Lonchura striata: one gene and its partner. The protein of the gene in region 1 binds, or shares a complex with, the protein of each later gene. Links are inferred from orthologs where the notes say so. Each region holds a gene or a part of one and is shown in the gene's direction. Other genes may lie near its edges.

The links.
Region 2: the proteins of GALR1 (region 1) and GAL are in contact, whole or in part, in a cryo-EM structure (PDB 7WQ3), measured with the Homo sapiens proteins. The link is inferred for Lonchura striata from reciprocal best matches to the Homo sapiens genes GALR1 and GAL. Residues at the interface, in NP_001471.2 of Homo sapiens: Glu32, Gln92, Thr94, Val95, Tyr96, Leu98, Pro99, Thr100, His112, Gln174, Phe177, Arg180, Gln184, Phe186, Cys187, Trp188, Glu189, Gln190, Ile266, His267, Ala270, Phe275, Leu277, Ser281, Phe282, Arg285; in NP_057057.2 of Homo sapiens: Gly33, Trp34, Leu36, Asn37, Ser38, Gly40, Tyr41, Leu42, Leu43, Gly44, Pro45, Val48.

Annotation. Positions count from the first base shown.
Region 1 is NC_134603.1:59,681,744-59,685,655, forward strand, and holds the start of GALR1 (galanin receptor type 1), read left to right. Parts: upstream 1-1,060; 5' UTR 1,061-1,161; coding exon 1,162-1,863; intron 1,864-3,912. UniProt on the Homo sapiens protein: Receptor for the hormone galanin. The activity of this receptor is mediated by G proteins that inhibit adenylate cyclase activity.
Region 2 is NC_134608.1:43,945,756-43,949,667, reverse strand, and holds the start of GAL (galanin peptides), read left to right. Parts: upstream 1-1,439; 5' UTR 1,440-1,503; intron 1,504-1,611; coding exon 1,612-1,692; intron 1,693-2,609; coding exon 2,610-2,664; intron 2,665-3,645; coding exon 3,646-3,741; intron 3,742-3,912. UniProt on the Homo sapiens protein: Endocrine hormone of the central and peripheral nervous systems that binds and activates the G protein-coupled receptors GALR1, GALR2, and GALR3.

The DNA of each region.
Region 1 (3,912 bases):
GAAACCCCCGCCAAACTGCAGACTGAAAAATACGTAACCAAAAGCTGGCTGCCTCCATCAGCACATCTGGGCAATTGTGTTGGTCACTGCTGCTGCCAGCTGTAGCTCACTGACTGGTAATTTGGAAGCAAACCAAAACCCATTTCGTTCACAAGGTGTATGTGCCGGTGAGAATATTCTCATGACCTCGCATCCGTGTGCTGGAGCAGTGTTGTGTTTCGCCCCGCTCTGAAGGGACTGGCTTTCCAGGAGCTCCTGTTTCGGCCCCGTGTCGCGCTGCCCGCGGCTGCCCGGCTCCAGGGAGCCCGCGGGCACTCAGCACGGATGCGCTCCTGCCGCGGCGGAGCTCTCGAGCGTCGTGACTTGGCAGTGAAAAGCGGCTAGACTTGCTATTATTCCATTGCTGTGTGTGTGTGTGTGTTTGGTTGGTTGGTTTTTAATAGGAAGGCGTGACAGCGTCTGCCGCCTTTTGCCATTTGAGATACTGCGTGATTAATGGAGGAAATCCGTGAAGGAGGTGAGAAGAGCGAGCACAGGTGGCGCTCAGTCCGGAGAAACTCCTGCTGCCGGCTACCTGTTGAGGCGGGTTCACGCGGGCGCTTCATCATTTCTGTCGTTCCAAGCGACTACATCGATGCCCGGCCGGACCAGCCGAGCGCCGCCTAGCCCTGCTGGGAGACGCGGCTCCCGAGCCTCTCCCGGAGCGGAGGCACCGAGCGAAGTTTTCCGGGGAGAGGACCGGGGCCCCGGCTGCCCCCCTGGGTGGGGGGCACTCACAAGCTGAGGGGTGGGAAGAAAAGGCGGGGGGAAATAAAGAGGGCAAGAAAACCGCACCTCCCCTTTCTCCGAGGACGCGTTCCCGGGGAGCTCAGCCTCCGAGGCAGCGCGGGAGGCGCGGAGGCTCCGCGGCTCTGCGGGCGGGGCGGGCGCGGGTCCCCGCCGGGGCGGGCGGAGCGCTGCTGCGGAGGGCGGCGGGGCCGCCGCGCCGGCTCCGCGACCGGCAGCGCAGGCTGCGCCCAGCGCGGCGGCACCTCCGCCTTCCCTCCCCGCCGCCCGGTGCCGGCGGGGCGGCCGCTCCGGGCTCGCCGCGCTCCGAGGAGCCGGGGAGCGGCGGCTCCGCGTTCCGCCCGCGGAAACTTTGCCCGGCGCGCAGGAAGAAGGATGGAGCCAGGAGATCCCCCGGCGGCGCCCCTCAACCTGTCCCGAACCGCGGCAGAGACTCTCCGCGGGGAGTTCAACCTGTCCGGGCTGCCGGAGGCGGAGGGGAAACCCCTCTTTGGCATCGGCATCGAGAACTTCATCACCTTAATCGTTTTCGGCTTAATCTTCACCCTGGGGGTGCTGGGCAACACGCTGGTGATCACGGTGCTGGCGAGGAGCAAGCCAGGCAAGCGCCGAAGCACCACCAACATCTTCATCCTCAACCTGAGCATCGCTGACCTGGCCTACCTGCTCTTCTGCATTCCCTTCCAGTCCACAGTCTACGTGCTCCCCACCTGGGTGCTGGGAGCCTTCATCTGCAAGTTCATCCATTACTTCTTCACCATCTCCATGCTGGTGAGCATCTTCACACTCTCGGCCATGTCTGTGGACCGGTACGTGGCCATCGTGCACTCCCGACGCTCCTCAGCCTTGCGTGTTCCCCGCAACGCAATGTTGGGTGTGGGGCTCATCTGGGCGCTCTCCTTCGCCATGGCCTCGCCTGTGGCTCACCACCAGCGCATCTTCCACCGCGAGACCAGCAACCAGACCTTCTGCTGGGAGTTCTGGCCCAACCCACGCCACAAGAAGGTCTACGTGATTTGCACATTTGTCTTCGGATACCTGCTCCCACTGCTGCTCATCTCCTTCTGCTATGCCAAGGTGGGGCAAGTGTAAAAGGATGGGAGGGACACAGGGGTGGAAAAGGTGTCCATGAGCCATAGGGCCACTTCTGGGTATGTGGAGAGACTTGGCACTGTTGGGAGGAGAAACAGCAGGGGTGAGTTTGTGCCACAAAGGGAGAGGGCACAAACTCTTTGTGACTTTTTTTATAGCTGAGGGATGTCCAAGGGATTTACATTCATATATGTTCAATATCACAGAGAGGTCAGAACAGAGATTGCATGGGATAAGTGGGGAGAGTTGTTCTGGCAATTAGTGGGGTCTCCCTGTCAGATTTCCTTGTTGCAGAATGCTAAGTCCGAATGCTCTGCTGCTTTCCCTGTCACCATAACTTAATTTCTTGTAGTGCTGTGTGAGGAGTTTGACTCAATAAAGTACAACAAAGCAACAAGTTGTTCGGGCTTCAGATGAAGTATTGTGGTTCTTTAAAATGTGCAGTGCACTTGAAAGTGGCATAAATAATCTGTTTGGTGTTAAGAGTAAAATGTGCTTCATGCTGCCTGGTCCCTGTGGTGCCATGTCTTGCCCCAGTTGAAGTTGATGAGAGAGTTACCTCTGACTTCAGCAAAAGCAGGTGGTTAGGGAGCAAGGCATGAGAACCCAGGTAGGAAAAAGTAATAATTAAGGGTGCCTGAATATGGATATTTAAGGGCTTCTCTGCTTAAGCACATTGTCACATTTTTCTGGACTAATAATTGCAGCCTTCAGCGTATGGTCCTCTGCTTGCTGGTAAACAGGATCTGGAGCACCAGTTGCTACCTGCTGATATCTTGCTGTTTCTGTGCCAGCTGCCTTCAGTTGCAGGATTTCTCCTTAGGCTGTGATTTTCATTTGAGAGGGATAGGACTGCTCTAGCAAATATGGATTGCTTAAGTCAGTTCTTCAACTGGCAAGTTCAATACATGTACCTGAAGCATTTAATTTGAACAAACAATTTTATGTTCTGCTCAGTTTTATATATATTACATCAGCTTAATTGTGATGTGCAAATTGAGGCTGTAATGTTATCCAACTCTGGTGAAACCAAGGCATGCAGAGCACAAAGGACAACATTTCTAAATGGTTGTTCATAGTGGAACAAATCCAACCTGGCAAATGAAGAAGAAACACAAGTTTTCACACATAAACTGAATCCTGCTTTCCCTGAATGAATACAGTGGTATTTCATCTACTGTGGATGAATATGACTGAGCTGTAGAAATAGATTTTCAGTTTGAAGAAAGTATTACACATTGCAGGGAGAACACCACAGAATGTGTGCACAGGGGCTTTCAGCTGCTAATGCTTCCCCTTCTCAAAGCCAAAGCATCTTCAGTTTCAGCATAAAGTACTGGCCTTTGAAGTCTAATTATATGAGAGAAGATTAATAAGAAATCTTTCAAAATTAGCATAGTCCTGTACAGTGTAGGCATGAAAAAAGCGAATGTGCTTAACCTGAATATATGCATAGTAAATAAAACACACTCTGTCATTACAAAGCACCTCTACAGAAGTAAATATCTCAATATTAGTATTAATATGTAGTTTTTAAAAAAAGCAACAAAAACCTCTCCAAGCCAACAAAAGCAACTATATGTTGAAAATATGCCCAAGAACAAGTTAGCAAAATCAAGGCCACTTGAAATTACAATAAAATTGTGTGCTTAAACTATTGCCAGGCTAGGGCCTCACCCTGGCTTTGTGATGTGTTTTGAGCCTGCTTGCCATGGTGTCAGGCTGGAGGAGCTAACCTGAAGGGGTGAATTTTAGAAGATAGCTGAGTGGTAGCTGGTACAGGCTGAATAGTGCCGTGACTTGTACAGAGCTATCAAAGGTATTTGTACCCTGCACCTAAAGACTCTCTCCTGCCTCTTAAGGAACCACTGACAAAGCTCCAACTGTAATATTTTGGGACAGGGAGAGCCTTCTCAGGCTGAGCAACCCCAGCTCTCTCAGTCTGTAGACATTAGGAGACATTAATCTCTGCATTAATCTCTTATGGACTTCACTGGTTTTCATGAACTGTGGATCAGTGAAATAACGCAATCT
Region 2 (3,912 bases), on another chromosome or scaffold:
TATAGATGAAAAATCAGAATGAAAACTGCAGGTTCAAAAATGTTTCAAATACATTTTATGGGAAGATCAAAAATAAAATTAGTCAAAGCTCACAGAATTAACGCATTTTTGTAACATTTCTTGAAGGCAAAATTTGGCATCTCTTGATGTAACTTCTTTGGTTTTTTTTTCAAATAACATAACAAAAGAAAACATTTTGTGGCACAAAGAACCTTCATGTTTCAAAAATTACTTAGTGGAGGTTAACAGCTGAAAGCTAGGGAATTTCAGTCAAAAGTGCACTTTTGATAAGATAGAGGACCACATCACTTTGCAAAAATTATATTGCTATTTTCATCTTCTATCTAATCTGAATTGTGAGGATCATGCAATAGCTGAGAGAACACCTTCAGCAAATGATAAACAGTACCAAATAACCTCTGAAAAGCTGAGCTTCCCATGTATATAAATCAGCATTTAAGAATTGCATAAAATAAACTTTATCCCAGCAGTTTTTGCTCAGAGACCCAAAGACAAGGCTAGACTATTACAACCCTACTGCATCCAACAAAAGAGGGTAGGAAATAGAAATACAAGACACAGCTGCTGCTTCTATCTTGGATTGTGAACATTAGGCTACGTTTAAGTAAAAAAAAGTTTGCTTTTAAACTAAAAAGTTTGCAGAGACTCTCTAGCAGTTTCTGGAAAAGGAGCTGTAACTATAACTTATTCTGTGCAACATTTCTGGTGTTTTCTCATTGAAAGAGAAATGAATTTGAGGGACTTGCAGTGAATAAATAATTTGTTGTAGAGAAAGTGCAATTTAGCGGGGGGGGGGTGGGGAATGGAACTAATATGGGAGTTTCTGCTTTGTAATTCAGTTTTGCACATCCCGATACCATCTCAGATCAGCGAACTGGCGAAACAAACGCACAGGCCAGGGCTAGTGCGGTCACTAGAGAGAGCTAAATCCCAGGCTTTTATATATAAAAGATATAACCCTGAAAGGAGCGCTGTCTCGGGCACAGAGCGGCAGGAAGCGCAGAGCCTCCGCAGCTCCTCTCCCTGCTGCTGGACAGCGGGCACGGGCCAGAGGGATTGCAGGGGCCGCGAGTGAACCGCAGGGAGCGGCGGGGCTCGGAAGCAGAGCGGAGTCCTTCTCTCGGGTGCCTTCTCTCGGGCACTGTCCCGTACCCGAGTCTGTGACAAGTGATGTGCGCTCCCTTGCCGCGTCCCTGTCCCCCCTTGTCCCCCGATGCCGCGGGCGGAGGCGCAGGCACAGGGCAGGGGTGATGCGACGGCAGCTCCCGGCTCCCCGCGGGGCGCTCCCGAGCAGCTCTCATTGGATTGCCGGGATTTCTGCCCTCCCGGAGCGGCGAGGGGATGGATGGCCGGGGGAGGCGGGGGGAGGCGGGGGCGGCCGCGGCTCCGCCGGCGCGGCCATAAAGCGCGGCGGGGCCGCGGCCACGCAGCGAGAGCCCGCCGTGGGACCGGCTCCGCGAGGGACACAGCGCCCAGAACAAGGTACCCGCGGCCCCGGCCCCTCTCCCGCCGGGAGCTGGGCTGCCCGGCCCCGGGAGCCCGTGCCCACCCACTTCCCAGCCAGCGTTTACCCGCTGCGCTTTGTTCCAGATGCAGAGGTGCACCGCTTTCCTGCTTCTGGCTTTAATCCTCTGTGCCGCCCTCTCGGAAACACTCGGGCTGGTTTTCTCAGTAAGTATCCGCGTCTCAGCCAGCGAGGGACCGCGAACCTCCCACGGATACACACTGCTCTTAGATAGGATTACAAAGGGTACAGCACTCAAAACCATTTTGGGCTATAAACAGTTTGCCTCTTTCTTTCTTTCTTTCTTTCTTTCTTTCTTTCTTTCTTTCTTTCTTTCTTTCTTTCTTTCTTTCTTTCTTTCTTTCTTTCTTTCTTTCTTTCTTTCTTTCTTTCTTTCTTTCTTTCTTTCTTTCTTTCTTTCTTCTTTCCTTCTTTCCTTCTTTCCTTCTTTCCTTCTTTCTTTCTTTCCTTCTTTCTTTCCTTCTTTCTTTCCTTCTTTCTTTCTTTCCTTCTTTCTTTCCTTCTTTCTTTCCTTCTTTCCTTCCTTCCTTCCTTCCTTCCTTCCTTCCTTCCTTCCTTCTCAGATAATAATTTGGAGCTTTTGAATACTAGCTCTCTTGTAAAAAAAAAATTGCTATGACTAAGAATGTATAGTTGCTAGCCCAAAATTGAATGGGTGTCCCACCTTCCTCCCAAAGGATGATGTACATATGGACTTCTTTTATGAAGAGGCTGTCATGTAAATCCGAGCAAGAAAAAGAAGCACTGCCGTTTGCTAAGGTGGCTATCAGATGGTAATATAAACTTCACGTATAAAGTCGAAATTTCTGCCTCTGAAGTGTGATTTGCAGTCATCACTTACGTGGGTGTGAAACAGTCAAACCACATGGAAGTCAATAGCAACACTATAGACTTAGACAGGGAGGGAGCAAGAGCTCACCATGAATATTTACTTCAATATGATTTGCTTTGTTTTAAAATATTTTTTTCTTAATTTTGAGCCTTCAAAAAATTCTTTCTGCTAAGAGAATGTCCTTTTGAGTGTAGGTCGAGCAATAACATACTTGTGGTTTTTTCCTTTAAGGCGAAAGACAAAAGGGGTTGGACTTTGAATAGTGCTGGTTATCTACTCGGGCCACGTAAGTGAGGCACTTCTTTTATTCATTATTTCAAAATGCAAATATTGTGTTATTCACTTCTCTGTATACAACAATTTTATCTAAATCTGCAACAAACTCATTTGGAAAAATACTTGTTTATATGTTTGTTACATGCTTATCATAGAACTGAGGTGTCTGAGACAACAGCTGTTCTTTTCTAAGGAAGTGTGATGATGGGAGGCCTTATGTCCAGAAACACATCTGCTCACATTTTGTGCTTCTGAACTGTAATTTTCATATGACAAATATGTCACCACAAAAAGTGTCAAAAAACCCTATAGCATCATATACATCATGGTCAGAATAACAAAATGTGTACCTCTCCATGTATTTCAGATCTCACCTTTAAATCTTTTTACAAAATTTCACTACTTGACTTTATAAGACTACTTTTTTTTTAATTAAAGCAAAATAAATTAAAACAGTAACTTGCAAACTCAAGACTGTTAACAGTTCACTATGTGAAAAATCAATATACAAGGTGTTTGAAATACAGGAGTACTGGTTTACGGGTGGAGATAACAAATGCAGGTTGTAAGGAAAGTAATGCAGAACTAAGCTGTCTCAAATGTTTGTCCTTTTACCATTAATTCTTGTGAATGTGGTTACATTCATCACCAATGTTTCTGTATTTTCAATCTCAGTAACACATAGACAAATACTACACATACTTACTCTGATACTCTTCATTATTTTTAGCTAACAATAAGGAGACATAAAAAAAGAAAAGAAGTTTAATGCATCTTAAATGCATCTTTACTGCTTCTGTAAATGTCTGGAAGTATATTTGCCCAAAGCACATCTAAGCAAATTGGAAAAAACACTGTGGGGAAATGTGCTTGTCAAAGACTTCTATTTTGCATCTAAGACTGGATAATAGGAATCATCCTTTGTTGCAGGTCATATTGATCAGCTTTTACTGAGTCAATTAACTCCTCTGATTTTTAACTTATTTATCAGATGCAGTAGATAACCACAGATCTTTTAATGACAAGCATGGTTTCACTGGTAAACGTGAAGTACCACCCGATGAGGATATTAAAGCAGGTAATGAAGGTCTGGAAACAAGCATTTTTGATTTGTTTTTTATATCAAGTAATTTATTTACTCTTTAACTGACTACTTGGATACAAAACTATTTCTGCATTTCAACAGAAATCCTAATAAACATATGAAAGGAAGAAAATTACATTTGGCCACTCATTGTGATCTTTATATTGTCATAGA